2 linked regions of the Nothobranchius furzeri genome follow. The protein of the gene in region 2 interacts with the protein of the main gene of each other region in a pairwise test. Links are inferred from orthologs where the notes say so. Each region holds a gene or a part of one and is shown on either strand. Other genes may lie near its edges. The genes, in order: pfdn4 and vbp1.

Evidence for each region.
Region 1: the proteins of vbp1 (region 2) and pfdn4 interact in binary tests that used the Homo sapiens proteins (3 or more experiments, as listed by UniProt). The link is inferred for Nothobranchius furzeri from reciprocal best matches to the Homo sapiens genes VBP1 and PFDN4.

The regions. Positions count from the first base shown.
Region 1 is NC_091755.1:40,018,187-40,034,725, forward strand, and holds pfdn4 (prefoldin subunit 4), read right to left. Parts: upstream 10,042-16,539; 5' UTR 10,027-10,041; coding exon 9,913-10,026; intron 9,575-9,912; coding exon 9,467-9,574; intron 8,991-9,466; coding exon 8,850-8,990; intron 5,725-8,849; coding exon 5,593-5,724; 3' UTR 5,235-5,592; downstream 1-5,234. UniProt on the Homo sapiens protein: Binds specifically to cytosolic chaperonin (c-CPN) and transfers target proteins to it. Binds to nascent polypeptide chain and promotes folding in an environment in which there are many competing pathways for nonnative proteins.
Region 2 is NC_091742.1:80,075,557-80,092,060, forward strand, and holds the start of vbp1 (prefoldin subunit 3), read right to left. Parts: upstream 7,802-16,504; 5' UTR 7,764-7,801; coding exon 7,647-7,763; exon of another isoform or gene 7,528-7,646; intron 5,720-7,527; coding exon 5,595-5,719; intron 5,455-5,594; coding exon 5,388-5,454; intron 2,408-5,387; coding exon 2,309-2,407; intron 1,687-2,308; coding exon 1,548-1,686; intron 1-1,547. Other genes in the region: E3 ubiquitin-protein ligase TRIM39, read right to left, coding at 11,479-11,850, 11,929-12,104, 12,259-12,285, 14,724-14,871, 14,947-15,180, 15,258-15,353, 16,282-16,504. UniProt on the Homo sapiens protein: Binds specifically to cytosolic chaperonin (c-CPN) and transfers target proteins to it. Binds to nascent polypeptide chain and promotes folding in an environment in which there are many competing pathways for nonnative proteins.

The sequences.
Region 1 (16,539 bases), on a different chromosome or scaffold from region 2:
CAAGTTTTACTGGGAAATTTTCCAAAATTCGCCCTGTCGAATAATCAGCCCGAATTTGTAGCAGGTAACTGAAGAGAAGTTGGCGTTGCTTGACGTCACTTTATGGGTGTTTTCTGCAGAAGGCGGGGCTGTGGCGACGCGGCGAAGTCAGGCGTACCGCCGTGACCATACATGTGCCTCCCATGTCGTCATTTCTATAGATACAGTCACGAAACGTCTTGTGAGTGATCCTAGTCCGGCCCCCCAAAAGATCTCATGTGAACATCAAATGGGCGTGGCCTATTTTCTGAAATAGCGCCCCCTAGGTCCATTAAAACTGTCAGCCCCAAGCCATGCTTTGACTGAGGAGTACGAAATTTGGTACACTAATGTGGGGTCTCAGGACCTACAAAAAAGTCTCTTTGAGCCAAGTGCAAAGTCGCACAGGAAGTCGGCCATTTTGGTCCAATTACTCGATTTAGTGGTTTTCACACACGTTATTAGGAGAATGATGTCTCGTCGTCCTTTCCACCTATCACCTTCAAACTCCTGCTATATAATCTTAAGACATAGAGGAAAAAATTCAACCGTCGGATTTTATACAAGTATAAAGGTGTGGGCGTGGCTAAGCCTCAAACTTTGACCTTTCGCCATTACATTACTTGACTTAACAACTCCCATGTGCATGATCAGATCTATATCAAACTCCGTCTGTGTGATCATTGACCACATCTCAAGACAATGACAATGTGGACAGCTGACATCACCTATGCCCCGCCCCCTGACTACAGGAAGTCTATTTTTTAATGGTGAAATGCCCATATTTGTCCCCTCTACTTTAGTCAACATGACACTAAGGTCATGCACTGTCTTCATGATGTTGTAATGACCATTCAGATCTGATAGCTTTTCAGAAAGGGAAGGGCTTTGATGCCACGGCGAATTCTGGCGTGACGCCGTGACCTTACGTTTGACTGTAACTTCCACTAACAACCTCCGATCTGCCCGAGACTGAACATGGCAATCAACAATCATGCCCTTTATTCAACGAGGCACACACCGTTGGTGAAAGTTGTGTAATGTCACCACAGCGCCCCCTACACACCATTAAAACTGTAATAACTCCTACAGACGAGGTCGTAACTGCACCAAACTTGCTATGTGTACTCACACAATGGCACCCACCACAGTCCTGTGGTAAGTTGTTGATATTGCTTTAGCTCCGCCCCCTGACAGATATTAGGCCCTTAATAACACATGCATGATGCAATTCACACCAAACTGCACACAAATGACTGTCATCAACCTACAAACTTCTTCATGGAATAATTCTTAAATTTGGGACAGCGCCCCCTAGATACAAAAAACCTTTGTAACTTCTGCAAAAAAGTTCCAAACTACATCAAACATTGTGGGAGTCATCACACATCTGCAATCAACACATGTATGTGATCACTTGTTCAATTCACTTTAACTCCACCCACTTACAGCTTTTTGTCTCTAGATGACCCATGCAACGTTTGATTGATTCCAAATTAACAGAAAACCATCTTTGATGACCAAAGATGACCTCTATGGCATTTACTTGTAAATGGTCACAACGCCCCCTAGATGGGTTCAAACTTTATTAACTTCTAAAGTCAAAGTCAGAATGGCATTATACTTGGCTTGTGACATCACGTGACTGCACCAAACACATTGATGTGGTTGTTGATTCAAATCCCTGTAGCTCCGCCCCTTTCAGCTCACTGGCTTTAGCTAACACACACAACGTCCGTTTGATGCCAAAATAACAGAAAACTGTCCTTGTCAACCAAAGCTGACCTCAATGGGATTTTTCTGTAATTGATCACAGCGCCCCCTAGATAACTTTAACTTTCGAAAACTTTAATAAATATGGGCAAAAAAGCACTAAAGTTGGTCTGTGTCATCACACCAACAGTGTGCTAAAGATAAAGTATGCCCTAGTGGTGAGACATGTAATATAATGGTAGGCTCGGAGGGGATGCTGATTCAGGGTGAGGTGTGGATGAGGTGACTGTTAGCTTTTCTTGGTGTCAGGGTGGTGGACGTTTCAGTCCGTGGACGTGCCCTGGTGCCCCGTGCTGCCGGCCAGGACGGAGCGGCGGGGAGTTGGGTTTGGAGAGCATCGGGGATGGAGCGGAGGGGGTGCGGAAGGAGGGTGAGCATCTTCGCTGCGAGGGCCGAACGACGCTGCTTGCAGCTTTAATTTGTATATGTTTTCATGCTGGGGATGCTAAACCCCCAGTCACTAGGTGGCAGCAGTGCTCAGACTATTCAACAGGCTGCCTGTTTAACCTGAAATGAAAACAGATGCCTCATTGGGTGCTGGAGGGTGTATCACCATCACCGCCATATTGGGTGGGTCTCTTCACTTTCCAAACCCATGTGGAGTCACCGCAGGATGAGCAACTATGCCTGTTTACCAGAAAGAAAATTGTAAGAACATTACAAAATAAGATGAAGGCCTCATAATGGCTAATTTAATAGATTTCCCTTCTCAGTCCAGCATTAAACTAACTGCTGGGAAAATGACTACAGCTCCACAATAAGAATAAATATCAGTTACAACTAATGCACCTGTGCACAGGTGTTTCTAGCATAAACCTGTGTGCATGCCCTGCACCTGGGTCTGTTCAGAGTAAAAGAACAATCTAATTAACCTGCTAATATATAATTGTGGGTAGCTTGGTTAGCTAAGCTCTTATCTGAATCACAATCATTTTATTGCCAAGTGAGCAGTTTCACATGACCAGGAATTTTCATCAGTGGAATGGTGCACACATACAAATTAAGGCAAGTCACAAAATTAGATAAGAAAATTAAGAAATAATGGGAAATGATGCACTTGGGGGCAAAAAAAAAATGCATATTCGCTAATGGAAGGGAAGTAATTGAGAAATACTGGCCTAATCCAACATGGCCACCACAGCTAATCAAAATGAAAGAAGAAGAAAAAGAAGAAAAGTTAACTTGAATAGCTGAAAATGCTGTAATTTTACGAGTTTTGTAGACATTCATTTGAAATGAGGTGAGATGGGTGAGTCGTTCTCATCATGTGGTTCAGGTTGAACTTCTTTCCTTAAAACCTTTGTTAGAAGTTGGGGTCAACCCTGGTTTTCTGAACCACTGGATGGGTTTGAATAGACCTCAGTGCACAGCACTCTTACACTGTCAGTTCTTTCATTTCCTTAATGATATTTTGATGTTTTTCACATTATGATCTTTTTGTTTTGTTGATCTTTCCTTCTGTGATAAGTGCTACAAAAACGTAGTTCTTACTCTGGTCTGCTCAGAAGGACGCTGGGGCCCCACGGACCATAAACCCAGGCTAATAAACATGTTGACCCAACATCATTTTGTGGTTTGCCCCAAGAAAAAAATGTGGCCAATCAGAAAGCAAGGTGACTGAAGCAAGCTTCACAGAGCAATGCAAATCCAAATCCTCGTCCGCCATATTTATTTCTTTTTTTGTGCTTGCATGTCCCATAACCTCTACTGTACCATCAGAGCACTTGTTCCAGAGCAGGAAACATTGCATCAAAGCCCTGGGAAGCCCAGTGGTGAGCATGGATATGCTCACTTTCCTCCTTATCAACCACATGCTCCTTTAGCATGAGTTACGTAGCTCACACACGAGACGTTGTGGATGTTAATAACTGCTGTTACATGTTTTATAGGAGTCTGCTTCCTTGTTTGAGATATTCACTATTATGCCTCGTTTTGGGCTTATTTACCTTTATAAAAGGTGAAATCACTGAAATGTAATTTTTCTCATCCTGTTTTTGCAAAACTGAAGAGTTTGCTTGCACTTAAACGCATTTTCTGCATTTTTAAGGACCAAACTTTTATTTCATCATCAAGAAAAGGAATATTTTGCTTAAAGTCAGCTATAGGGTAGCTTAGAAATCTAGGTGAACTGTAGCAGTAGTAAAAGCTTTTGCTCTGCAGGTCAGTCTAACGTGCGCAGTGGTTAGCACTGTTCCCTCGCAGCACGAAGGTTGCAGGTTCGAAACTCGGCGGCGGCCTTTCTGCGTGGAGTTACGTGTTCTCCCCATGCATGCGTGGGTTTCCTCTGGTTTCCCTCACAGATCACAACATGCCCCATAGGTTATAAATTGTAAGTCGCTTTGGATAAAAGCGTCTGCCAAATAAATAAACATAAATAATGTCTTTAATTACTTTGCTTGATTAATCCTCTAAATAATCACTAGTCTACTCGATTACTGTAATAATCAACCGTAAGAAACGTAGTCTTAATAAAAATCCTTGTGAAATAAAAAAGAATTTTGCTGTTTTGGGAAAACATTTGCAGATGATCTGTGAGCTAGATCGTTTTAGTCCAATAACACGGGTGTTCCAGACATCCCAGAGTAATGACACTAAAGGATGGAGCAAAGGTGACAGAAGAGTTAAGTGCTTTAGGGTTGCAGGTACGAGTCCCATCTATCCCTGTTGTGTCCTTGAGCAATACACTTTACCATCCATGCCTGCCGGTGGTGGTCAGAGAGACCGGTGGCACCAGTTTACGGCAGCCTTGCTTCCGTCTGTGGGCCCCAGCACGTGGCTACCATGTAGCTCATCACCACCAGCATGTGAATGTAGGTGGGTGAATGGCTGGTAAGTTGTAAAGCACCTTGGGGGGCGTAGAACCCAACAACCATTTATCATTATAACCATTTATTTTTATGGGGCGACGGTGGCACAGGAGTTAAGTGCTCGCCCCGTAATCGAATGAAACAAAGATGGCGACGGCTCATGTGAAACCGTTTTGGCATCATCTTTGGAGCATTTTTTCATCTTATGCGACAGCGTGTGGCGGACTGCCCTGTTGACCGACATCCGCAGCGGTGAGTCCGTAACGTCGGTTGTCCAGTAGCAGTGTAGATTCTGCCCTGCCACTGAGAGCCGTCAAAGGGTCATGGACAGACTGGCTCGCCAGGCTAGGAGACCACAACGTACTTTAGAAATGTTCCTCAATTGAAATCAGACCTGAGAATCTGATTTGACACGTAAAACGAATGCTTGATCCAGATTGCCAACAGTGGCCTCTGCTGTTGAACAAACGCACATAAAAGCCCAGCTGGAGTGTAATTCTGGTGGAGCTAGCATCATGATTTCTGTCAGCCTGGCTTTAAAGTGGTCCTGAAGCTTAAAACCGTTCTGGGTTTTCCTTTAACCGTTGCAGCTTTAGTTGTTCATAAGGTGTTTCAAAAAGAAAACTGACGTTAAAATAAATGTTTTCATCCATTTATTTATTATTGTTATAAATAAAAGGAAGATTGTTTAGTTAGTCCTGCCTCTGTGACATTTGAGCCTAAAGATTTCATAATAAAACCAGTTATTGATCTGATTTGGAAACTGTGTCTTCAGTTTGATGGACAGAAGTAACAAAACTACGGAGCACATGAACAAATAAATGTTACGGATTCATTTAATGACCAAATCTGTACAGTTCCTGATGTTGTGAGGCAGGTAAACGCATCATCAGAGTAAACAACAGCCAGGAGAGCAAACAGAAAACATGTTTTGTTGGCATCAACCAAGTTCTGAAACCAGTAAAAGTCCGTCCTCTGTCAGATTCCAAACTGTTTAGCTCTCATCAGCCTCCAGATTGATGTTATTTCCAAACTTAGCGTAGAGCTGGACCTTCAGATCACCCAACACCTGCTGAATCGCTGACACGCGTTTCTCAAGGCCTTTGACCTCCTGCTCCAGAGTTTCCTGTTGACAGAAGATCCACATTTCAGTTAACCACCAAAACGGTTACGAGTAGAGCCGAGTTCTGACACATTTGGTAGGCACTACTGATGAGCCTTTTCAGTGCCAAATTTGAATACCTTCTGATAATCGTCTGTTATTGAGCCGCACATGACTGGGGTCTCACTTACATGCAGCATTACTGAGAGAATGCAGAAAACAAGCCACGGTGTAGCAGCGTTTAATGAAAGTAAATGGCTGTGGTGAGATTTGTTGTCCCTTCCGACGAGAGGAAATAGTTTTTTTATATTCTGTCTCTTTTGCATAAGGAGTTTCTTTCCTGGTCCTCTGAGTTCATGTTGATGTAAACTGCCTCCGCTGTGGACAGAGACACTGGTACTCATACGGTTTCCATGGTGGGACTGAACCTTGATTAGAGGTGTGAATCTTCACTTGTCTCCCGATTCAACTCGATTACGATTATTGGGTCAACGATTCAATTCGATTCGATATCCCGATGCATCACGATTAGGGCTGAAACGATTCCTCGAGTACCTCGAATAATTCGAGTACAAAAAATCCTCGAGTCAAATTCTCTGCCTCGAAGCTTCGTTTCATTCATGTTTAATTAATTCATGGCTTTGCAATCACCCGGGGTCATGTTTCACCCGGACCGAGATAAGTGACGCACATACACACTGCACTGAATGCACACGCGAGTAGCGAACGCAACTTAACTTTCTCTTAAGCCATGGCGGACAACGTGGACCCCGGTGGAGGGTGAAAAAGACAGGAAATGTCAAAGTTGTGGGACCATTTTTCACGTCGTAAGGCGGAAAACGTAGTCCAGTGTAAATACTGTAAAATGGATGTAGCCTACCACAACACCACATCCTCCATGCTGCAGCACCTGACCAGGAAACATCCACATGTAAATGTCACTTCTGCAAGCGAGCCTCTACAAGATAATGCATTTTAGCCTGTATTTCTATATATTCTGCAGACACTGTGCGACGTTTTCATTTGTAGCGCTCAGTTTCAGCTCACACCGTACGTCTGGTAGCAACACGTCGGTCTTAAAACGTGCTAAAAATAGCAGTTTTTACAACACGCCGATTTTTTACTGTGTTGTTGTCGATGTCCGTTGTCCCTCGGGATTGCTGCAGGAGGACACGGGTATTTATGAGTGGCGGAGGAAAACGAAAGGAAGTAAATAAATGTTGTGTGATCAGTATAATTTGACAAAACCACGGCAAACACGCTTTCTCGACAATCCTTGTTAGTGTGAGACAAATAAAGTAGAAATTAATACGGACGTGTGTTAATAGGGAAACAGCTGGCGAGCCATGTTTGCGCATGCGCCGTGAACGGTTCTGGTTCTGTCTGGGCCGCAGCCGCTCGCATTTGTTTACTGTGAAGTAAAGTTGAAGTGCTGAAGTTTTGAAAACTAATTTTGAATAAAACTTGAAGAATAACTGGCAATTGCTTTCTCATTTCAAGAGGTCTTTCATATTTTATAACATGCTATTTGATATAATGGTTTAAAAACACAAAAGAGTAATTTATTAGAGTACTCGATTAATCGATAAAAGATTCGATAGAGTACTCGATTACAAAAATATTCGATAGCTGCATCCCGCATCACGATTATTTCATATTAGTTTGTTTTCATCGATAAATGGAAGATGTCAGATAATTGCTTTTTAGTTTTATGTTTTTTTTATCAAAAGCGTAATCGACACAACCTGCTGTCCCTCAAAATCTCTCCATTCACAACAGGTTAGGACAAAACATTTAAACATTTAAGAAGATTTAACAAAGTAAAACATCTGTTTCCTCGTTCAACACCACGCCTCAGGCTGAGAAGAACACGCTTTGCAAAAACTCACAAAATCTAAAAAAGTACTGAAAACCTACAGGAAACATAACGTAATAATAAAATCCATAATGGGTTCATATATGAGTGTTTAATGTCTCTGAGCAGCTCTAGAGTCCGATATTTATGCCACAGTTGAAGGGTGTCAGAAATAACACCAAATGAAATGTTTGACTTAATTTCATTTGAACCCAGTGGTTCATTTCTGAAATGTTGGAGAATGAATCAAGTTCTGTTTGATGCAGAAAATAATAAAACATAAAACAAATTCTACACTTCCAATAATATTTAAGATGTGTGTTTTATTCTTTCTGATAATAACACCAGCAGAAGGCTGTGGGCTGGATTAGGATTAAATTACCCAGCTGATGGAGCTCCTTCACTAACCAGCTAACTAACCTTTCCACTAACCTGTCCTGTGGGACCCTCACCATGTGACCCTCATGTCCATGCTGTCTCTGGAGGAGCAGATGGGAGACAAGACCTCCTGTAACTTAAAATGAACCAAAGCTTCCTCCCAGCTTCTCTTTAAGCTGAATTTAACATCAAATTATCATCATGACACAAAAGAATAAAGTGGAACAAGAACTTCTATCTTCTATCTCTCTCCTCTTAATTTCTCCGTGTCCCTAAATAAAAGACGATCACGCTGCAGCCACCGTCATTGACCCCGCCCCCTCCCCAAGACCGGATCTCCCAGCATCACAACACTCGGTCTGACTGAGCGCTTCCAGGAGAAATAATAATTAAATTATGAAAATAATAACGCGTGTTTGGAGCATCGGTTTGGAGGAGCGTCCTCCGATCCTCTCTCTCCCTCTCTCAGTTGCTGTGCGAGCGGAGCGCGCCGTGTGACAACCCACTCAATTGACGTAATTCAGGGCCCAAATCCAACAGAACTAGTCGGGCTGATTCGGTTCCGGTTCGGTCTCAGGTTAGAACTCAAGCGCTCAGCCCTGCAGAACCACATTAAGGCGGAACCACTTGGTAAATGTGGAGGACGCTCACTCTGACAGATTTGGACGCTGCGCTGGTGCCGCTGTTAAAAAAACAAAACTACATTCCACTATAATCGATGATGGCGTACTCTTCTACGATGCAGAATCGTTTATGTCCGCATCCCGATGCATCGATTATTTTCCTCAGCTCTAACCTCGATAGTTCCGGGTTTGTTTCGACACCTTCGAGCTGCACAGCGACTTGAATTCGGTTTTCTCTCTGATGTTTTAAGAGAAGAGCAAAACGAGTTACTGAGTTACGTGGATCCACTCACTTTAGCAGCTTCTAGCATCTCTTGTGTTTCTTCCTGGGAGTGGCTGATGAAGACACCACCTATCTGGTAGGGGATCAACAGAGTGTCGTCGTCTAACAGCATCAGGTCGTCGCTGGCATCCTGAAGGTTCTGCAGCGTTCTCTGAAAGAGGACACCACACACAAAGCAATCGGTGAGGGCAGTTCATAGATTACTGACTGCTCCAGTAGCTCTTCCAGGACACATCAGACTCCTTACACATTAAATAACAGGGTTCTACATCAACTTGCGTGTATGACTTTGGCATTTTAGAGGAAACTGCCGAAGTCAAACCCCACCGGTGTTGATCTGCATAAGTGGCAACTGTTCCATGTAGGCACTGACGTTCTGGAGGTTAGAGCTACCAGTGTGCCTCTGAGCCACAAAGCCACCATCTGATGGAGGTCTGAGTTTACTCTTTAAAAAGTCATGTTGATCTTCCTTTAGCCAGCCAGAAACAACAAACACTGCGATCAGTTCCTGACAGATGTAAGAAATCTACTCAACATTACCCAGGCTGGATAAAAACCTGAAATAAGCCAGCATCGGGTTAAGGTTACAGGAAACGAGGATGCTTCAGCAGAAAACACCAAACTCACCTTCTTTGATTCGATTTCATTTTTGAGCTCCGTCATCCGACTCGTGTTTCTGGCGAATTTGTTGATTTTCTGCTGATCTTCGAACGTGACAACCACGTCTTCAACAGCCTGCAAACCGGAAGATGACGTTAATTGTAAATAACTAAACATTTCACAAGCGCACCGGGTCTGAGGTCCGGTCGACTCCCACAGAGCTGGTTAGTGACAAACCGATAAACCGTCGTCAGCTTCAGCCGCTGCCCGGCAGGGTGGTTGTAGCCTCTGTGCTAGCTACATTAGCTCCACTCACTCACATGAACGGGTGGTGAGAATGGTTAAAATAAACCCCAAAAACTGTGACTTCTGACATCAAATACTCCTCTGCTGTTTCCATTCATATCTGCGACTAAAGCGGCGCATGAATTTAATTACAGGAAAACGTAAAATTCCTTTAAAAACGAACTTACAACAGGACTCTTCATGACGGTAGCTGCCATCTTGACTTCTTCTGCTGTTGTCAGAAAGCAGCGCTCAATAGAGAGCCGCTGCGACACCACCACCTGGCGGTAGCACTTCAGCATTACATGCTGTGCGCATGTGACAAAGATTGAATACAAATACTTACAGAGTGGTCTTTTTTAAGTATTATTAACCAAATAATGACACAGATCAATGATGATACAATGATACAGTGCTCTGAAGAGACCCCCACACTAGAGAAGTGGTTCCAACAAATTCCTGGACAAACATCTGACAACTCAGTCTGGAAGAGTGCAGTTCTAGGACCAGCTAAGAACCTTCAAGCTGCCAGGGGTCTCATTTATCAAACATTGTGTAGAATCCTTACTAAAACCGTACTTAAGCTCAGCAAAAAAAAAGTACTTATGCCAAGTAGGTTTGTGATCTATCAAACATGGAGTACACACAGCTGCACGCAATTGCAACTTCATAAATCAGAGACTATCTAGATAGGTTCTCAGCTGCTTTTTAGTCACATCCCGCCCTCACCACGCCCACTTACTGCCATAAATAGTCAATGCAAAGTGCCTTGTGGATCCCATGCGTATACATAAGCCGGCTGTTGCAGCGCTCCGCCAATGACATGGCGACCGTAGATCAAGGCAGATCAAGAAAGCGCTATTACACACAAGCAGAAGTTGAGGTACCTGTGGGTGAGGTGGAGAAATGTAAGGAAGTACTTTTGCAAAACAAATAAGAGAAAATCCACGGAGTGGCACAGCGTTGCTGAAGCCGTCAATGCTGAGTTCTTCAGAGAGATCTGTGGCTGATATAAAAAAATGATCCAATCAGGATTCAGTCCCCAGACTCCCAGGCAGCGCTGGACTGACCATAGGGCATAGCGGGCAACTGCCCGCTGGGCCGACCCTTTCATCTTTTATGGGCCGGTGTCTGTTTTTTTTTTGTTTTGTTTTTTTTCCTGGCTTCTAGTTGTTGCGGACAACTTGTCCGCGCCACCCCACGCGACGCCTCGTAAAAGTTGGTGGATTGGCCAATTGGTAATAATACACTCTGGGCTGGACCAATAGCCAGAGGTCTGATGCACCCGCCAGTTGTTTGTGAATCTCAGTAAACAGACAGACGAGCTTTACAAAATGGAGAACAAAAAACGGAAAGGAGGAGCGGAGAAAATTCGACTAAAAAAGAAACTGGCCCTTCAGGCTGATGCTGGCACATGTGTTAAAATCTCACAGTTGTTTGGTAGTGAAGGTTCAAGTAAAATCAATTTAGGAAGTGATGGAGCCTCAGCCCAGCGACAGGTTGGAGAAGAAAAGAGGGAGGAGGAGGAGAAACCCGAGCCGGTGTTGTGCCATAAATTGACTCGCTGCCAAAAAATGATTAGCCACCGCGGGATCGCGCACGGTTAGGTAATTGCATTTCTAGACAAAATTCCCCAGGATTTCGCCCTAAAACTCGGCATATCTAGCAATATGGACATTCAGAAAGCAAAGATAACCTCTTTCGGTACTTAAACAGATGTTTATCGCGGATATTAGTGTGGCAGTGTTGGTGGCACCCTGCGCGGGAGCACGAGGACGTCCTTGTGGAAAGAGGGAGGAAGATGCGGCTGTGTGAGCGTCCTGTCACAATGTCCCGATTGATCATGCGCCCTGGCTAGTGGGCTAAGGAGATGCCTCTTTGGCTGACTGGTTAGAGCGTATGACTCTCACCCGGGAGTCTGGGGATCGAATCCCGCCTGGGCACTCCTTTCTGCACCTTGCCACATTAGTTTTTCCAGTTCGGAAGTTGTTTTAAGTGTTGCTATTTGTCTTAAACGTTCACAATGAGGATATATTAATCCTTTTTGCAATATTTGCGATTGAAAGATGGTTTGTGCCACAAACTTTGTGGTAAGAACTGGCTTTCTTTATGTTACAGCCTTGATACTAAAAAAATAAATAAACAATGTAAAATGGCACCCTGTATTGAATGTAAACGTTGTATAAATGGAAATAAACAATTCTCCAGCAATTTAATTTTTTCCCCTTCCTTTCTTTAGTCCACTTGACATGGAGCCACAGTTAACTAGTTTGGGGCACATTTTTACTTGAAAAAAAGTATTTAAAATGATCAAGCTTTGGCTTTACAATGACACTGTGTAGGTTGCTATTCATTACGTTGCTCTATTTAAAAGTAACAAGATAAAAGCACTTCAGCACATAAAATTAAGATTGTCACGTGCCAAATAGACTACACCCTCCCGTTTACCTATAAGAAATGCATCAAAATATCTTTAAATTCTTTATTGATGATTTAATTGTAGACAGCTAAAATGGCATTTTACTTGCCAAAAAGTGATTGAATCGCTAAGATTTTCATGGAGGCTGAAATTGACCAAATAAGCGTTTTATGTATTATCTGTTGACGTTACTGTACTCATACTGCCTACTGTGTCATCAAAAACACCCCAAAAATGGCAAAAAAAAAAAAAGAAAAAAAGATAATTTCCCTTGCCAAAAATTGATTATAGTGTCCTGGTCACGTGTAAAGGGTTACATTTACCTAAATATTACTTTATTTATTATCTCTTGATGTTATTAATGCCATCACAGGATGCTGGGTGTCTTCCACATTCATAAACACCTAAAAAATGGCAACAAATGATAATTTCCCTTGCCAAAAATTGATCACAGAGTCCTGGTCACCCATAAAGGCTTAAATTGGCATAAATATTACTTCATTTATTATGATGCCGGGTGTGTTCCACAATCATATTCGAATAAACATAAAAATATTCCGTCCGAATATCTGTTTCTTGTTATAAATATAACAGCTAGAAGGATTTACAGTTAAAATAGGAGAAACACGTGACTCCCCAGGAAGGGTCGTAACACCACTTGCCTCATGCACATAAGTGAACAAATCAAAGCAGCATGGAGACACTCCGTCTCCAACCACCTCTCAGGCAGCAGCCTGCACTCCCAAGTTCTACACGTCACCAGAACATAAACAACCGCAACACAATAAAAGCAGTGTTATACAAAATGGAAGGCCTGTAGTGTTTATTCTCTTACAGTAACAACTTATCAATTTTTTGGAGGAATTTATTTGAGAATTTTTTGGTTTTTATTAATTGTGCAATAGAAAAGTAATCACTAGATTAATCATCTAAATAGTCATTAGAATAGTCGACTATTCGATAAAATAATCGTCAGAATAATCATTTTAAAAATAATCAGTTACCCCCAACCCTACTTTTTAGAATACCAGGATAGGAAGGATGGTGTAGGTTTACGTTTATTAGATTGATACATAAATACTACCAATAAGAAAGTGTACGTTGGTGTGTGTCAGAAACAACATAAGGCTTAATGTCTTTTCCAAAAAAAAACAGGTGATGGGCCGGTCTCCAGTCAAAATGCCCGGGCTGAATTTTTGTCCCAGTCCAGCCCTGCTCCCAGGTGAAAGTCACATGCGCTAACCAGTCACCCAAACAGAGATCTCCCTTGTCCAAGTAGCCAGGGTGCACGATCAATCGGGTTATAGTGACAGGACACACTCTGTCTCAATCTGTCCCCCTGCTGATATTCTGCATTCCGTATTCTGCGCTTCAGGCTGTGTGTGTGTGTGTGCATGCGTGCGTGTGTGAGTGTGCGTGCGTGTGGGGGATCTTGTTCCGTGTGAAAACGAAGCAGTACAAGTGATAATGCTGCAGGATTTCATAACTGTATCCTTCTCAGCAGCAGCACTGCAGGTGCTCTCCATGTCCAAAATGTGCGTAAGCCAGGTCCTTAGTTAACTTAAAGTTGTGCACATTTTTCCGCTAAGTTTTCTGTCATTAATCCCACAGTTTCTGTGGAAAGTTGCTCGCGCAGTTTTCGACCCCATTTTGTGCGTGAGCTAGCTTGATAAATGAGGCCCCACGCCTCTGGTAGAGAACCCCAGCTAGAGATGAAGAGCCACTCACCCCGCCCAGGGGAGGGAAGGGTTGGTGAGAGAAGAGTTGCATGCTACTTTACATACATGCATGAGAAATTGGGCAGACAGCTTAAATGGCAGCAACATGTGAGGTCTTCATGCTGATTTTAATCTCTACATGACTGATTAAAGAACTATTAGCCTATCTCAGGTGATTTATCTGAACGTTCACCTGACTATCAAAACAGATTTTTAAACCGGAACTGCTGCTCTGTGCATATTTAAAAGGCAAACAGGACTGCACCCAAGATCAAATATTTACTGAACACATGTGTAAGGCAGTAACACCAGGCATACAGAGTCTGCATCCATGAAAACAAAGAGTGCTAATTCTCCAGTTTTCTGTTTTCAAATCAATGGCCTTTTGTGAGTATGATGCCTCCAATAAAACCAGTAGGCTGTAAAGCGTTGGTGCGTTCATGAAGACTTTGCTTGAAGTCCCTCAGCAGCAGCCTTTGCACAAAGTCCAAACTAGGGAATCCGACTCCCACCCCAGTGTGCGGGCAATAGGCTACAACTGGGCTATTGTCTCCAAAAATTCCACAAACTGTTGTAGGAAATTTGATAAATACTGCACGCTTTCAACATTTTTTCCAGCAAAATTTTTTTCTCACAAATCCCATGATGCCTATGGCAGACTAAGAGGATGTCACGTTGAACAAATTTTCAGAATAATTTGAAAAAAATAAATCATCCAGGGTATTTTACTTTCTAAACGTTTCATTTTAAGTCACGCACTGGGATACAGCGGGATGCAAACGTTTGGGCAGCCTTGTTAACCCATTTGTGCCCAAATTTTTTTCAGAGTTGTAATGCATATCATTTTATCAGTTAAGTCCCTCTGAATCATGTTATATCATTTTTTTTCAATTATATACTTTTTTTGGGAAGAAAATGGCATATTTATTGTTGCCAGTGGTCACACAGCTTGTCAGTAGGTTAAATGTCACCTAATAATAGGAATAGAGAAGTAATAACAATATCGTTATAACCAGGGCCGACCCTGGGGCATTATTTTCACTGGGCAAAATTTTTCCTAGTTTAACCGCACCTAAACCTTAACGTTTCACTTTTTATAACCTTCCCCTCTCCCTCATCCTAACCTTAACCCTCTTGCTACCTAAAACGTTACTCTCACTGTGATCAAGCGTTTGTTTCCCATGCATTCTGACTCTGACAGTCAGAGTCTGACTGTGAATTTTCGTATTTGCCGCCCAAGGGGAACGTTAGAACATACCATCTGGCGAGGGGAGGTTACACATACCCTCTACTTTTAACCTCCACCGTGGTAGTTGAAACCTCCCCCTCGCGTTGGCTCGGTCCAAACCCGACCAATGACGAGGCGGCTCCCGCCCTTCGCTTCATAGAGCAGGCTTTTAGAACGATCGACACATCACTAACGTGTTCGCTAGCAAGATGGTTAAGGTTAGGATAGGGGTGAGGGGAAGGTTAAATAAGAGGATAAGGTTAAGGTGCGGTACAATGAGCTTGTTTGGTGCCCTGGCTGCGGACATCCCATCGCGTCAGTGTTACGCTGCATTGGGATCTGCAGTCAAATAAGGGAAAAACCCCTTTTCGCACATAAGTAACGAAAAAGGGCCCTTTGGCGTCAGGGGTCCGACGTGGAGGGTGGCTGACAAAGCGTTTGTTTTTGACGCGCTGGGAGTGAGAACGTGTTGAGGAGACACACGCAGTGATATCTGAGAGGTGAAACAATGTTTATAGGATTTACAGAAAGTGTGCAACAATTGCTTAAACAAAATTAGGACGGTTAATAAATTTGGGCACTGATGTCATTTTATTAGACGTTTTTACAAAACAATAGCCCTTTTTCCATTACCGGACCTCCAGGGTAGTTCCTGCAACGGGAACATTGACCAGGTGATAGGATGTCCCAGTCCTCTCAGCTGATGCATTCAAATCCAGCCCTTTCAGAACTTTGCACAAACGTCAGCATATCGCGACTGCTTTGACTGTGAGTGATGACACTGATCAGTAACGTTAAAATTATTAACCATTTATTCAGTCGAAGCGTTTCGTACTTTCATTCATTCAGAGGACGTGAGCAGCTGTATGGTGTAAAATGTTGTGTTCAATGACCAGATGAAGTGCCGTTTTTTACTGCGCTCTGTGAGAAAACAAAGCCCCGTTATTAAAGCCTAGGTTATACTTCTCCGTCTGTGTTGAGACAAACCAAGCCCCCACAATGCGGCTCTAAAATTGGTCCCAACCCGGAAGTACCAAAAATTGCAGTTCCACCCTCATCCACTAGGGGCTGGTGTCAGAAGCGAGCAAATCCTCATTGACTCCCATGTTAAAAATACCAATTTCACAGCAGAAATAAACATATTTAGAACCTGGTACCAAAACATGTTTTTGGTTTAAATGATCTAGTTTACACTCATGACAACTCTGAGGGGGGTGAATTTTTTTCTCACTCGTCTGTTTAAGTGTATTAAAAGCCTAAAATTCTGTATATTAATGAGCATCAGACCCACGTGACCACAGAGCTAGCTCCGTGGAAAGGCCTCAGTAGAGCCTCGGTCTGGCTTGGAAACTGCTCCGGGATTTTGAGTCTCTGTGTGTGTGTATTCTTGTTTGGATATTTTTTGTGCAATTGTTGGACAAAATGACTTGCTGTGGCATTAATTGCACCA
Region 2 (16,504 bases):
TTTATTTATTCTTTTGTGGATGAAAGACTTGTTGTGAGCTAATTATTTTATTGGAGTACTTCTACTGGACCGTTGTGGATGTACAAATAACTGTTCAAGATTGCTCTATTCTGTCAGTGAAGAGGCTTTGAACTGTAAGCACCATATTTAGAATTTCTGAGTGGTGTAACAAGCTGTTATTGTGTCTACAGAACTGGTTAAATCTGTAAACACCATTTATCGACCGGAAAAGGGTGGCTTGCCAACTCCGGGTCGGGGGAGAGGTCCTACCTCAAGTGGAGGAATTTAAGTATCTCGGGGTCTTGTTCACGAGTGAGGGTAGGAGGGATCGGGAGATCGACAGGCGGATTGGTTCGGCGTCTGCAGTGATGCGGATGCTGAGCCGATATGTCGTGGTGAAGAGGGAGCTGAGCCACAAAGCCAGGCTCTCGATTTACCGGTCGATCTACGTCCCAATCCTCACCTATGGTCATGAGCTTTGGGTAATGACCGAAAGAACAAGATCGCGGATACAAGCGGCCGAAATGAGTTTCCTCCGTAGGGTGGCCGGGCTCAGCCTTAGAGATAGGGTGAGGAGCTCGGACATTCGGGAGGGACTCGGAGTAGAACCGCTGCTCCTCCGGATCGAAAGGAGCAAGTTGAGGTGGTTTGGGCATCTGGTCAGGATACCTCCTGGACGCCTCCCCGGGGAGGTGTTTCGGGCATGTCCTGCCGGCAGGAGGCCCCCGGGTCGACCCAGGACACGTTGGAGAAGTTACATCTCCAATCTGGTCCGGGAACGTCTTGAGGTCCTGCCGGAGGAGCTGGTGGAGAAGGCCGGGGAGAGGACGGTCTAGAGCTCCCTAGTTGGGATGCTGCCCCCGTGACCCGGATAAGCGGAGGAAGACGACGACGACCATTTATCATTGGAATCACAAGACTCCCAGCTTTCTAATGATGTATTATAATATGTATATGTACATTGAAAGACTGTTGAGAAAAAGACGCTGATTTGACGAGGACGTATGCAATTTGTACTGCACTATTACAAAAACAGCCTGTGTGACCTCATGTGACCTTAGATAAAATGAGTTATCGTTTAAAACTTGCTGAATCTTTTGGTAAACAGGGTAAAAGTGGCTATAATTTCCCAGTCTGAACTAAATAAATGTTGACCTTCGCAACCTCTGGAGCCGTTTAAGTTTCCTGTGGATCTGCTGAGTCACTTCAACTCAAACCAAACAAAGAGTTAATGACTGAAACAACACCCAGCTGGAACAAATGTTACCATCTAGGCTGTTCTAATATGCAATAACAATGATCACATTTCTTCACTTACTTTAATTCCCACCATGTTGTTCATGACTATAAAAACACTGCATGTCCTGTGACTTACTGAACCAGTGTCACCAGTGACCTCCTTCCTAATAAAAGGATAGCTAATGGAATTATTTCTGATCTGAAAAGGTCATTTCTCTTTTGGTCAAAGTCTCCAAATCTTCCCTCTGATCCATGTGGCCATCCATAGACACAGATCAGTGAGAGTGGACCACTCAGTGGAAGGATACTGACTTCAGTGGTGGTGAACTGGTCTCGCAGGAAATCCAGATCTTCCTCGAGGGTCTCCAGGTTACGAGATGCTGTGGACAAGTTCTTCTCCAGGAGGGCCTGGGCTTCGTTGATGTCATACTCCAACATGACGTTAGCCTTTAGGGGAGAAACGTTTTGGTCCTCTTTAATGTTCCATGATATAATGAGTGATCAGGTTTTAATCTAACCCAAAGTCTACAAAACACAACAGATTCGACATCATTATTTAATAAACTATAATAAAGTCAAATGAAGTCCAACGGAAAGTGGAAAATATTGATTCAATGATCATCTTCACCTCTACAAAGGTGTATTGGTCTGGAGCATACAGGTGTGTGTTAACATCAGAGAGAAAAGTGGCCTAAGGGATGGACGAAACCAAAGCAGACATGTTTAGCCATAATGTATAGCACTGTCTGGATAAAACCAACCACAGCACATTAGAACAAGCCGTGGTATCAGCTGTCAGCACGGTGGTGGAAGACTGATGGTTTGGGTTCATTACAGCCATTGAGTGGATCATGAACTTCTCTGTAGACTAAAGTGCTATAGAGTCAGATGTGAGTCCATCTGGGTCATAAACATGAACAACAATCCCGAACAGCTCAATAAGCTGGAATCTGTTGTGTGGTTGTCCCTTTGAGGTTATTTTAATCACTTCAGAAGCTGCAAACACCAGATCACCACTGTAATCGAGTCAAAGACCATAAAACCAGACATCATCCTGAGTGCTACTCACCCCTAACCATAAAGAAACTTTGTCAGTGGGCGGCACCGAGGCCTTACAGTAAACGTTGTCAGCTAGGAGGAAGTGTGTTTCCATTCGCTCCGTAGTTTCCTGTGGGAACAAAAGGTACCACAATAAATTAAAAAAGGAATTCCATTACCTATGTCCTTTAGGTCTAGGGGTAGAATCAGCTACTTCATGATTTTTTTCTTCTCAAACGAGGTTAAATAATATTGAATTCACAAAAGAAAGAAAACAACAAAAGTAAGTAAAAAAAAAATATATATATATACAGTTGTGGTCAGAAGTTTACATACACTTATAAAAAATATAATATAATGGCTCTACTGAGTGACCCGTTATTTCTAAAACTCTGATTTTTCTCTGATAGAGTGATTGGAACAGATACTTCTTTGTCACAAAAAACATTCATGAAGTTTGGTTCTTTAATGTCTTTATTATGGGTTAACAGAGAAAAGTGATCACATTTGCTGGGTCACAAATATACATACAGCAGTGCTAATATTTGGTTACATGTCCCTTAGCCATTTTCACTTCAATTAGGCGCTTTTGGTAGCCATCCACAAGCTTCTGGCAAGCTTCTGGTTGAATCTTTGACCACTCCTCTTGACAGAATTGGTGAAGTTCAGTTAAATTTGATGGCTTTCTGACATGGACTTGTTTCTTCAGCACTGTCCACATGTTTTCAATGGGGTTTAAGTCAGGACTTTGGGAAGGCCATTCTAAAACCCTTATTCTAGCCTGATTTAGCCATTCCTTTACCTCTTTTGATGTGTGTTTGGGGTCATTGTCCTGTTGGAACACCCAACTGCGCCCAAGACCCAACCTTCGTGCTGATGATTTTAGGTTATGTTGAAGAATGTGAAGGTAATCCTCCTTCTTCATTATCCCATTTACTCTCTGTTAAGCACCAGTTCCATTGGCAGCAAAACAGCCCCATAGCATAATATTCCCACCACCATGCTTGACTGTAGGCATGGTGTTCTTGGGGTTAAAGGCCTCACCTTTTCTCCTCCAAACATATTGCTGGGCATTGTGGCCAAAAAGCTCGATTTTTGTTTCATCTGACCACAGAACTTTCCTCCAGAAGGTCTTATCTTTGTCCATGTGATCAGCAGCAAACTTCAGCCGAGCCTTAAGGTGCCACTTTTGGAGCAAGGGCTTCCTTCTTGCACGGCAGCCTCTCAGTCCATGGAGATGCAAAACACGTTTGACTGTGGCCAATGACACCTGTGTTCCAGCAGCTTCTAATTCTTGGCAGATCTGCTTTTTGGTGATTCTTGGTTCACTCTTTACCCTCCTGACCAATTTTCTCTCAGCAGCAGGTGATAGCTTGTGTTTTCTTCCTGATCTTGGCAGTGATGAAACAGTGCCATGCACCTTATACTTACAAACAATTGTTTGCACTGTTGCTCTTGGGACCTGCAGCTGCTTTGAAATGGCCCCAAGTGACTTTCCTGACTTGTTCAAGTCAATAATTCACTTTTTCAGATCCATGCTGAGCTCCTTTGACTTTCCCATTGTAGCGTTTGTGGGCGTTTGTATCCAATGAGCCCTATTTACCTGGCCTAAGAGAAGTCACCAGCTGTAGTCACTCATAATCACTCACAAGAAGTTAAGAGGCCATGCTATGAAGCTCAGTTCACTGACACGTTTCTAAGTCAACAAAATTGCTAGTTCATGTTGCTGTATGTATATTTGTGACCCAGCAAATGTGATCACTTTTCTCTGTTAACCCATAATAAAGACATTAAAGAACCAAACTTCATGAATGTTTTTTGTGACAAAGAAGTATCTGTTCCAATCACTCTATCAGAGAAAAATCAGAGTTTTAGAAATAACGGGACACTCAGTAGAGCCATTATATTATATTTTTTACAAGTGTATGTAAACTTCTGACCACAACTGTATATATTAAATGGCCTCGCCATATATGACTTTCCAGCTTATATCAAAGAACACAGACTAAAATAGTTCAAAAAGGCAAAGAAAGAAGCATACCGTAAATCCTCTAATATTGGCCTGTATTCAATTAACAAGCTCCTGCGTGTCGGGAGGCAACGCGCTGTGCCAGAGCGTCGGTACTGACACCCGCCGTAAAACGGACATTTAACCAAATTGTGACGTTTACCCTCTTGCAATTTAACCTTCCCCTCACCCCATCCTAACCTTAACCAGCTTGCGCATGCAAAGCTCTGATTGTTGACGCACTCCAGACATCTGCGTCCTGAGCACGGCTACAGTAACATTATCAAATCAAGTGTCGCCACCTCAAAAACTAATTTAACACGCAATCGTTCATGTCGGCTCATTTCCTTTTATGTTTTCTGTCTTTTATTCTTTTATTTGTGCCTGATGCTTTTAGCTGCTGTGGATCGGGGTGCATCACCTGTTTTGTCCTCTGTGACGCACCGATCACTGATGCGGCCGGCAAGCAGCGAGCACTCCGCTGTTTTTGTGGTCGGTAGATCTTTTAGAACTGCAGCTCAAAGGTAACTCATAAGGTGAATATATATGAACCCAGGTAGCAGTTTCTCTTTAGGATTGAGAGGAGATGCAGGAAGATAATAAACAGACAGGACAGAAAAATAGTCAAATAAAAACAAGTTAGTTTTTGTACCTGGTGGTTGCAACAAACAGACACCATTGAAGGTAATCAGAAGTGAGGAACAGAAAATAATTATTTTAATGTTTAGAGCAGCAGGAACTCCGAGAGGCTGCAGGCGCATCAGTGAGTTTGCACCGCTGCGCAGGGGGAGAGGGCTGAAGCAGAAACTACCGTTGTTAAAAGAAATGTGTTTAACTTTGAAAATGTGGGCGCAATTCTAATTGTCAAAAACTCCAGCGAACCATTAGTTCATTTTGCTCAAATAGAAATTGAGGCCTGCCTCTAATTCTGGTCCTCCTTCCAATAAAGGCCTGGAGCTTGATGAGCTTGAGTCAAATACAGACCCGGGCCTGTATTAGAGGATTTACGGTAGCTTATTTCACCCATCCCTATGTTGTCATTCTAGAGGAACTGGAGAAGACTCACTTCCAGTATGGAGCTGGTTTACAGAACTTCACCCACCTTTTTCTTCTGCATGTGTCGTAGGATTTCTAGCGTCTGTGTGATCTGTGGAATCTGGTTTTTCAACCTATTAAATAAGAATGATTTTAGTTAAATAAATAAGCATCCAGCTTTCCTACTTTACAGATCTACCAGGTGCACACATATCAATTCATGCACGTATTAATGTAACCCGAATAACTCGTAGTGTTTGTATTTCTGTTTTACCGGAGTTTCTTCTGGGACAGGTTGAGCTCCATGTACTTATATTTCTGGTACTGCTCATCCAGCTTCCTCAGAGCAGAGTCTGCCGTCTCGTTGCCAGGCAGCTTCATAAAAGAGTCGACATCCTCCTGGAAAACAGCAAACAGGGATTAAAAAACAGAAAGGCCTATATAACTACTCCACAAATGAGACTTTCAATACCACAAAGTCAAATGTCTAAAGTCTCAGTGAGATGTGTTTGCAGCGCCGTCTGGTGGACAAAATATGAAATTACACTTTTCTGAATTGGCCTTTGTGTTTTTAACATGGAAGCACAAATAAGGTCTTACCATTTCCTAAAATACTTTTCCGTTTGTTATACCTATAAGTTCAAAGTCACAATAAATGAAACCATAAAACAGGTTAGTGAGAATTAAAACCCTAAATTAGTGTCAGATTAAACAAATAAATGTAACAAACCAAAAAAATTACAAACATTTTTATAAATACAAATATAATATAATCTTTTGTTTAAAATAAATATGATCTTTTAGCTTTTCTGTTAAAAATGAGAAAAAATGTGTGATTTAACAGTTAAGTACTTTTCACAGAAAGTTTTGATTGAACAGTTTAAATTTGATTTGACAGCATCAGAAGTAAATCGCCTGGGCACTGGTAAAAAAAAAAGTTACTGTATTCTATAAAATGGTTTGATGCACAGATAATAAAAGAAAAAATCTATTTATCTCATTACATTAATGCATTTGTTGTGTTAAAGACAAAGACAAAAGAAAATGAGAATTTCTATACTCATGTAAGGTGCTGTAATCTGAGAATGTGTCCAGGTGTAAACCTTCCTCCTGCCATGAAGAAAAATCACTGAAGTAATTAATAAATTACCCAAATTGTTAATATGATGCCGTTTATCCACTCATCGTAACCAAAGAACATCACCTACAAATCTGGTAGCATTACAAGTATCTATAATTTGATTTTTAACCCTTTTAGTCTGTCATTGGTATTTTTCATTCATTTACACATTAAACATAATGGTATTCTGAACTTTTGATCTAATTGTGACATTATTGTTCACTCCAATGCGTGTTATTTTCCCTTCATATTAGGGCTGAAAATGAACTCAATAATCAAGCCTCAATATATTGAGGTTAAGAAATGTACAATTATTATTGAAGTGCAGTTTGGTTCTTGACACTGGATAGGCCATTGTATTTGTTGTTTTGGAGACGGGGTCTACGTTATTGTTTTTGGTGCAATATTTTCTAAAAGAGTGAAAGCACTTTTATATTTATTTATTTTTTGTTTGTTTTATTTATTTAGAAGTTCAGGGTCTGGACATTCCCATGTTAAATAAAGGTTTAATTGTTGCATTTTAATGGGTGTCCTTGCATTATTATGATATATTAACATTACATAAGTGGTTATTTTGGTCTTGATAATGTCAACAATAATATCATTTATCGTCAATAATTTGTTGGACAATATATCGTCCAACAAATTCTGTTATCGTCCCAGGCCTACTTTCTATCTTTATTTTTCTGTTTTAATTTAAATGAGAATCGAATCAAGATAAATTGGCCAGATTATACAAAAATCTCACATTTTTAATACCATCTCAAAACATTAGCAAAGTTAATATCATTAGCAGATTAAAGTGGAAATCTTTCAATGTAATATTTAAAAAAATCGCTGAGCTGTGCTCGTTAATGCTCTCTATGACAGGGCACGTCAGACAAGATGCTAGTACTGTTCTGAGTAATGGACAAGCTAGTTAGCTAGCTAGCTAACTAAAGACACAGTTGACTCTGGCAGGTAAGTCCAGCTGAAGGACCTCAGAAACACCAGGTGAGCTGAATATTACAGGCAGACAGTGATGTCCATAGATGGAAGCGAGCAGCCGCCCAACATGCACACACAGCAGGACACTCTGTTAGCTCACCTGCTAACTTAGCCTCCTAGCTGAGTCAGAATTGCGCCGCTGACAAACCGGTCACACCAAATATACATTACATCCGTTACAAACATGTAACACCGTCAGAAGCGTCTGGTTATACGCACCACAAACACTGCTTCGGGGATACCGAGGTGCTTTTTTTTGTTCGCCTGTGAAGCATTGCTGTTGTCTATGGTCGCCGTCATGTTGGAGAGGCTTCTTTCGTCCTGACGCACGCGCATGCGTACAAGAAGTCGGAGTGGTAAAGGGGAAGCTCTGCTGCCTCTACTGGGGACCCACTGAGACTACAACATTTTCTGTCCTTTTTTTTTTTACCTCCACCAAGGAGGTTATGTTTTTTACAGTTATGCAAAAGGAAATCCGCTTGGATCTTATTTTGAAATTTGCCAGATGCTTTACACAATTAGCCACACTATACTCTGTGTTTGATTCCCTGTCTTGCCAGGTTTGAACTACTGATCTTGATGCATACTGGAAGCATAGTACATAAATGTAGACTTGGCATGACACTACACTTCTGGGACGCATCTGAAATGTACCGGTGTGTGCCCAGTGGAGACAAAGTGGAGACAAAAAGAGACTATGATGGTGGCTATTAACTGTATGTTGCCCTCACGCACTGAGTAGAAAGCCAGAGTTAGTGCCTTGTTCACACTTGATAAAAGAGATAGGCAGATTAATTGTGTTTCTTCTGCAGGACTGATGGCATTGCTGGTAAATGAGCTGAACTAAAAAGGTAGAGGTCTCAAGTAACTGGTTCAAAACAACAGTAGAACTCAGGGCTATGTTTACAGTGAAAGTAAGAGCATTCCCATACCAACAACGTGAAGGGAACTCAAGGGACTGCAACAGCTGTGTACCCATAAGAAAATCACTAATCAGTGAGGCTAACTGGTAAAAAAGGCTTTACTTTGCTAGGGAGCATGAAGATTGGACTAGTGGAAGGTCATGTGGTCTGATGAGTCCAGATGGACCCTGTTCTAGTGATGGGTTCATCAGGGTAAGAAGAGAGGCGGATGAAATAATGCACCCATCATGCCTAGTGCCTACTGTACAAGCCTGTGGGGGCAGTGCTATGATCTGGGGTTGCTGCAGTTGGTCAGGTCTAGGTTCAGCAACAGGATGTGCTCCAAGAATGAGGTCAGATGACTACCTAAATATACTGAATGACCAGGTTATTCGAACTTCCCTGATGGAACGAGCATATTCCAAAATGATAATACCAGGATTCATCAGATAGTGAAGGAGTAGTTCACACATCCGGAAACAGCAGGAAGGAAAATATGTAAAAGAACCCTTATTCATAATCAAAAATAAAAACTTGAATCATTAAAAATTTTCTCTGATCGGCAGCAGACACAGGCCTGCTGTGTGAGGCTAAGTAGCTCAGAACCAGACTGGTAGGGAGGAAGAGAGCATCTGGTCTGATAGGAGAAACAATCTGCACATTAACAATGAAGGTAAAAGAAAATAAAGGAGATATCATGGAAGATTTTGTACCTATTAAATGGAAAACTTTAAGATGTAATGTTAATAATTTAGGTTGACTGGATATCTTGATACGTGTGTGCAGAGGTGGGAAAGGAGTAAACTACTTGACTCAAGTTTAGTTTGATTTTTTTTTTCCAAGTTTCAAGTTTATTTATATAGCGCCAAATCACGACAAGAGTCGTCTCAAGGCACTTCACATGGTAAACATTCCAATACAGGTCAGTTCATTAAGCCAATCAGATAAACGTTTCCTATATAAGGAACCCAGCAAATTGCATCAAGTCGTAAAGTCAGTGATTTTACAGCAGGGGTGGGGAACCCTGGTCCATCGAGGGCCACTATCCAGCATATTTTAGTTTCAACCCTGCATTATCACACCTAATTTCAATCAGCAGGTGATTAACAAGCTTCTGCAGAGCTTGATGAGCTGCAGAACAGGTGAATCAACCACTGAATCAGAAGTGTTGGAGCAAAGACATGCAGGATACCGGCCCTCGAGGACCAGGGTTCCCCACTCCTGCTTTACAGCAATCCTCACACTAAGCAAGCATTTAGCGACAGTGGAGAGGAAAACTCCCTTTTAACAGGAAGAAACCTCCAGAGGATCCTGGCTCAGCATAAGCAGCCATCCTCCACGACTCACTGGGGATCGAGAAGACAGAGCAGACACACACACACACACACACACACACACACACACACACACCAAATAATGTTTCTATGGTTACATTGTGATTTTAGTAAATATCCTTTTTGGTGAGATAAACTTTATTGTATTTATCCTAGTGAATCTACTTTATTGTATTTATCCTAGTGAATCTATAATTAGACAGGCAAACTAGGAGTAGCACATTCAATGTCTGTTGTTCAGTCATGCACTTGTAGCCAACATCATTTAACTCATCAAAAGATCTAAATGAATCACTCAGACCTGCAACGTGAACATAGATTTTATTGATAAATGACTCGCATTAATATAGTGCCTTTCAGAGTCCGAGGACTCCAAAGTGCTTTACACTACAGTGTATCATTCATCCATCCATTCACACGATGAGCTGAGATGCAGCCACAGCTGTCCTGGGGCACAGTGGCGGAGGCGGGGCTGTCGATCACAGGCGCCACCAGTCCCTCCACCAGCAGACAGGGTGGGTTAAGTGTCTTGCTCAAGGACACAACAGCAGCATTTTCTGTCCGGAGCCAGGATCAAACCAGCAACCTTCCGACTATTCGACAACCCGCCTAATCTCCTGAGCTACTGCTGCCCCCGTTATTGATCCCACAGTGGGGAATTTCACTAAGGCAGCACACACACTTAGAGAATTGGGGGGAAAAATGATACAAGCAAATACACATGTGGCTGAGGAGAGGGAAGTCTGGGCCTCTTGACTTGGGCTGCTGCCCCCGCGACCCAACTCCGGATAAGCAGAAGAAAATGAATGGATCGCAAATCTACCTCATCAGCAATTAAAAATTAATATAAATATAAAAGTAATTCATTGCTACAAAGGGAATTCCATTTTCTTTAAATTATGTTTTTATATTTTGTCTGATCAGAAATGTTCAGAAATGAAATACGGGCCATTTAGTAAAAGTCCTCTAAGGTCCACATGCAAACTGTATGGAGATTAACAAAGTGCCCATTTGAATCAGTGTTCAACTCGAAATACTTTTTTTTAGACTAGTAATATTTTATATATATATTTCTACTTTTTCAATTTAAGATCAATACAATTTCTGATCAATCCGTTGCACGATTAATGGAGCTCAAATCTATAATATCTTGTGAGTATTTCCAACAGCACTTCTGATGCATTAAAGCCACTCCTAGAAATCTCTTCTACCCTCTAGTGGCAGACCTAAGTACTGCACAGTTGGACATTTTACTACCAAATTACAATATTCACTTTTATGGTGACCATTTTATTAGTTTATAAACTAAATTGACTGATTTTATGTTCTAAAGGGTTAAAGAACACAGGCATCACAGACTATTCCAAACAAGTTTTATTTGTAAACAAGCACATTTCATGTCAGCTGCATGAGGCTCCAGCACATGGTTCAATAAGCGAATGATAGTTTGCATTTTGTATTCGAGTTTCTGACTGCATACTTTCTGCAGGAGCAGCCATCATCACGTGTGCTGGACAACAACCTCATTAAGATGCAAAGCACACAAAACTCCATCTGACAGCTGGTGCTGATGCAAAGATGTTGCAAATCAAACTAAAGATGGATGAATGGATGATCCATCACTCATTAACCATCAGTAATACCTCATCTCTGCCTTCACACAGTATGTGATACGGCATGACAGTTCTGTCTATTATAAACTGTCTATATTTAACACACTCAGCTACTGTTTTACATTCACACATCTATATTTATCTATATTCGTCTTTAAACAGAGTGTGCTCTGTAGAGGACGTCCTCCTGCTCCAGAACACTTTAAGGCTCCTGACTAACAGCTGTGATCACTAGAGGGCCCGTGTTCCTCCCTTCATCTAACACCCCTGGGCTAAAGAAGGGGAAGATCTTTTCAGAGAACAAACACCCAGAGAAGGTGTAGATGTGGGATCTGGCCTCCACGTCAAAGAACGAAACCGTCCTTTCCTCATAATCTGTAAACACCCCCACAGTCTGAGGCATTTCCCTGAGAGAGAGGAGGACGGATGGGGAGTCCAGAGCTCGGTACTCGTTACCGTTCCTCAAACGCACCGTCCAGTAGCCGTTCTCCGGCTTGGTGGTGATCATGCCTTTCCTGTTGACGGATTCTTTGACCACACCCAGGTCCCAGAAGGTCTTTTTCCCCACAGCAACCTGATTTACATTCAAACAGATCGTCAACATTTCACTTTCCCGCCAAACGTGGAGTTGTTTAATCTGTTCAAGGTCTACCTGAAAGAAGAACCTCCCAGACTGGAAACCCTTCTTTCCCAGAACGCAGATGACCGGGTCGAAGCGTTGGGGCTTGTCGGGAACAGCGTGGAGCTGCTCACCTCGGCCAGCCTGCTTCCCATCAGCTGACAGGACGATGTTTGGATGGGCCGTATCCGGGTCCAACTCCACATCAACTATAGAAATGAAATGCAGTTCTGGTAATACTTCCACCCAAGCCAGAATTACTTCCCACAGCACTTCCCGTCAGGAAGGCTGAATGGTTGAACTAAAACACATCAGGAGCAAATTAGCACCCAGGTATTTATGTAATGTCAGCGTTGTTCTTACCTGCATGTTTCTGCATTCTTCTCATCTCTGTTAAAACAAACATAAAAACACAGTTCAGATGGATCCAGGAGAGCAAAACAAAATTTCTTCTGGACTTTTAAGGAGAAATAAACATCAACGTCCTGACCAAAGCAGTGGCTGTTCCTTCCTTTACCGGAACAGCACACATAAGGCATGTTCATTTGTTGATAGTTTCCATACAAATAATGTTTTAACTGTAGAAAGTGCATAATTCCATTAGTCAGTGGTTAAACTGTTAAAAAAAAAAACGAATCGGATTCCTAAACCAGTTCCAGCTGGAGAAATAAAATTGTGAGAAAACACAAATATTCAGCTGGAATCGGACAAAATTGTGACGTGCAAGCTTTATCAGTTGGTTTCATCTACGGCCGTGTAACAGAAGATTTAATTCAATTTGGAGGAGCTTCACGATCATCCGTGATGGATGTAACAGATGTACATCATCTGCAAAAAGCTCGTCCACGAGGTTCCCAAACCAGATCCACTCTTCTCCATGAACACCAAAAACAGGATCAGACACAAAAACATCCCTACTTCAATACAGTTTTTGTTTTGGTCAAACAGAGCTGGACAGCCATAGCCCAAGATGACCCACTGAGCAGCTCTGCAATATCTGGCCCTCTGTTCCATAACCAGCATGAAAGCCCAGTGCTTCTTTTGAATCCAAACTGTAACATTTAAATTTAATGTATTTGCAATTTCATTTCTGATCGTCCCCTAAATTTGTCTCACATTTTTTAGATGGGTTCAAGCTGTAAACTAAAGGTCTCGTGACTATGTTTTAGTAGGAAATATGCACATTTTGTAAAAGACGTACATGTTTAATAGACTCCTCGTAAAGATTTTGTTTCTTTACAACCCTTCTGCCTCTCCATTGGTGAGGATTTTGTGCAGGCCTTGACTGCACCAACTGGCTGTTCCTGTGGGTGCAGACAAAAATCCTCCTCAGTGAAGCTTCAAGCACACCACCTCCAGAGCTCCTGCTCGGCAGTTCGTTTCAGGATTTTAAACAGCTCTTTACAAGTAAAAATAATCTTAAACACCGAAATTTGTGTTCAGTCTTCATTTTATGTTGCGGTTCCAGGAGTTTGGTCACAAGATAAATAGGGGCTTGTCCGGGATATTTATCCTTTCCGTTTTTGGTCAGAGTATTTTGCATTGATTTAGGCCCTGTCCACACGTAGCCGGGGATCTGCCAAAACGTAGATATTTTTCTACGTTTTGGCCTGTCATCCACACGAAAACGGATCTTTTTAAAAACTCCGGCCAAAGTGAAGATCTGCGTTTTCTCCGTTTTGGGTGTCTGCGTGTGGACGGACAAAACCGGAGTTTTAAGGTCCGCAACGTCACTTTCCGCGACAAAAAATGCTGACATCACGTGTGCGACCTGTGTTTACACTAGCCGGCATCATGGAAGCCCTCAGAGCTGCACTCTGTCACTACCCGATCCATCAATTATCCAAGCGCTTTCTGCTTGTTTGTTTTTGCAAGCGGAATTACTGATCCTTGCGGAAGACCACAGACGAAGGACGAGGTTAAGGACGGGGGAAGTACTGCCGCCTACAGGTCTGGCATGTCCTTAACAACGTATTTATCCGGGTACGTGTGGACAGAGTTTTTTTAAACGCGGTGGTGTGGATGCAAGTTTTTGGAGGGGCGGTTATTCGTTTTTAAAAAACCCCGGCTACGTGTGGACTAGGCCTTAGTCTGTGTACAGTCAGCTATGTTTGAGGTGGAAGAATTTTTAGCAGATCCGTCTCAGTGAGCCTGCTGAGGGTTGCTGCAAACAGGACTTGGTCCAGATTGCGGATCACTTCGAGCTCCAGGTACAGTCAGCAGTTCCTTTGTACTCATTAAATGCATATAATCATGCATCTTAACATCCGGTCACAGGTGTATGCTACCTTCTTACAACACTAGCATAGCCAAGACATAACATACGTGGGACTTATCCGAGCTAGAGGAGGGGCAGAGGGGTGTAACAGTTTCACTGGGTCCAACATGGTGGACAACATTGCCACCACATGGTTGCGCTGAAAACTACAACTTCTCATCTCTGAATGTCAATCTGTTCAATATATGAACAGCTCCAGTCCATCCCAGTGACAAACAGCCAGTCACACATTCACTCACACCTACGGACAATTTAGAGTCTCCAGTTAAACATAAACGTGTGTTTTTGGTCTATGAGAGGAAAACGGAGCACCCAGAGAAAACTCTCATGCCAACCCCTCGCTGGTGGGCTTTGAGTGATATCATCTACGCCACATGACATCTGTGCACGTTAAATACGTGATTTAAAAAAATCTTTCAGCAGCCAGAAAATAACAGGAAAAAATAGTTACCAGGAATAAAACTAAACTATAATAACCAGATCTGATTTACCGTAATCCTGGATTACTTAGGATGAACACTTATGATCTGTTTCATTTTATTTAGTTTACCTTCTTTCTTCAAACAGAGCAGCTCATTCTTCAGCACATGGTCCAGTTTGGACAGAGCTCTCCTCACGGTCCCCACACAGAGCTCAGGGTGGATGCTGATATCTGCCCACTCCCTGGTAGGTGGAGGTGAAACCAGAGAGGGCACGCTCTGCAACAGTAAAAGATTTCCTCCAGAATCACACACACTGTCCTGATGAGTCTTTCATCACATGCAGAGACTAACCTGTAGGAGGTGCAGGTGGTCCTCGGTGTCCTCCAGCTCCTTCAGCTCAGCGTTTCTCCTCTGAAGCTCGGTGATTTCCAGCTGCAGCTCACTAACGAGCTCCTCAGCCCTCCTTTCTTCTGCTTCCTGCTTTCGTTCGATCTCTGAGTTGACTTCAGATTGTCTCTCTTTGATGGAGTTGATCAGGGATGTGAAGAGACTGTTGCTGGCGGATTTTTCCTTCTCGGCGCTCAGCTGGGGGAGAGAAAATCAAATCAAATCTACAGACTGTAACCAGCTAATGACAAATTATTTTTTCATTCACAACTTACTTTGCTCATTTTTAGGCAGTTATTGATCTCCTCGATTTTCTTCTGGTGCTTCTCGATCATGTTTTGAAAATCAACCTCAGTCTGCTTCATTTGGACCTGAACACAGAAAAGTAAAAGCTTGTTTGGTTTAAAACAAGGGTCACCAACCTGGAGTCCAAAGGCCTTTTCTCCAAATAGCACAAATTGCTTCCACCTTTTTAAAATCTGAAAATCTGCATCAATAGATTTAAAAACTAAAATTTCCTTTAAAACATTAACATGTGTTTATTAAAGTGAAGTTTAGTTAAACTCTGATCTAGTCTAGTTCAAGGGTCCCTATTGGATCAACCTGGTAGCCCTTCATGTGGCTCACGTAGCCCTCAGCTTCACTGAGACTGGTGACCCCTGGTTTTAAGCGATTAAACTAACAATCTGACATTTTGAATAATTACTAATTTAGGGTTAAAGGACCTTTATTTTTTTTTTAATCGCTACTGTAAATGAAGCATTTGTTAACAAGAATGAGTAACCGTTGAAAAAAAAACAGCCTTTTCCATTTTTTCGTTTCCTATTGGGGATTTCCAGTAATACTGGCCTCCCATCATCATTAGTCAATATTGGTGTTCAACTAATATCAGAAATTAACTTTTACACACCATGCATGTACAAACATTTCATCATGCATTTTGGCCCTTTCTGCTCATTATGATGTCTAAATGACATATGAGGTCTAATGAGATTTATTTTTCTTTGGCACAACTGGTCTAACTTTAGTTCAGCTTTAATTTGCAGAGTAAAGGTTAGGGTTAAGTACCCATGATATGTGATGTTAGTTACCTGAAATCATTTAAGTTAGATTTTTCTCACAAGGGGACAACCTGCACATATTGGCATTGGTTTGTTGGTCTATAGGCTATATCAAAAACTGAACAGCTCTATTTCAGGTGATAATCAAAAGCTTGGTGACTTTGATGGAAAATGGCCGTTTTAAAGGTGTGTGTTGTTTCTTTATTCCACAGCTGTAAGCTAGCCTTCCTCTGTGTACCTTCCTCTCTCCACTTTCTTCCTCGATCCCAACAGCCTGGTGATCTTTGTGTTCGGCCTCGGTGCAGAACCGACACACGCACATCTGCTCGTCCCTGCAGAACATCTCCAGCAGCCTCTCGTGGTGCTTGCACATTCTGTCTTGCAGGTTCTTCAGCGGTTCCATCAGCGTGTGCAGTTTCAGGGTGGCAACTCTCCTGTGAGGCTCCAGGTGAGCTTCGCAG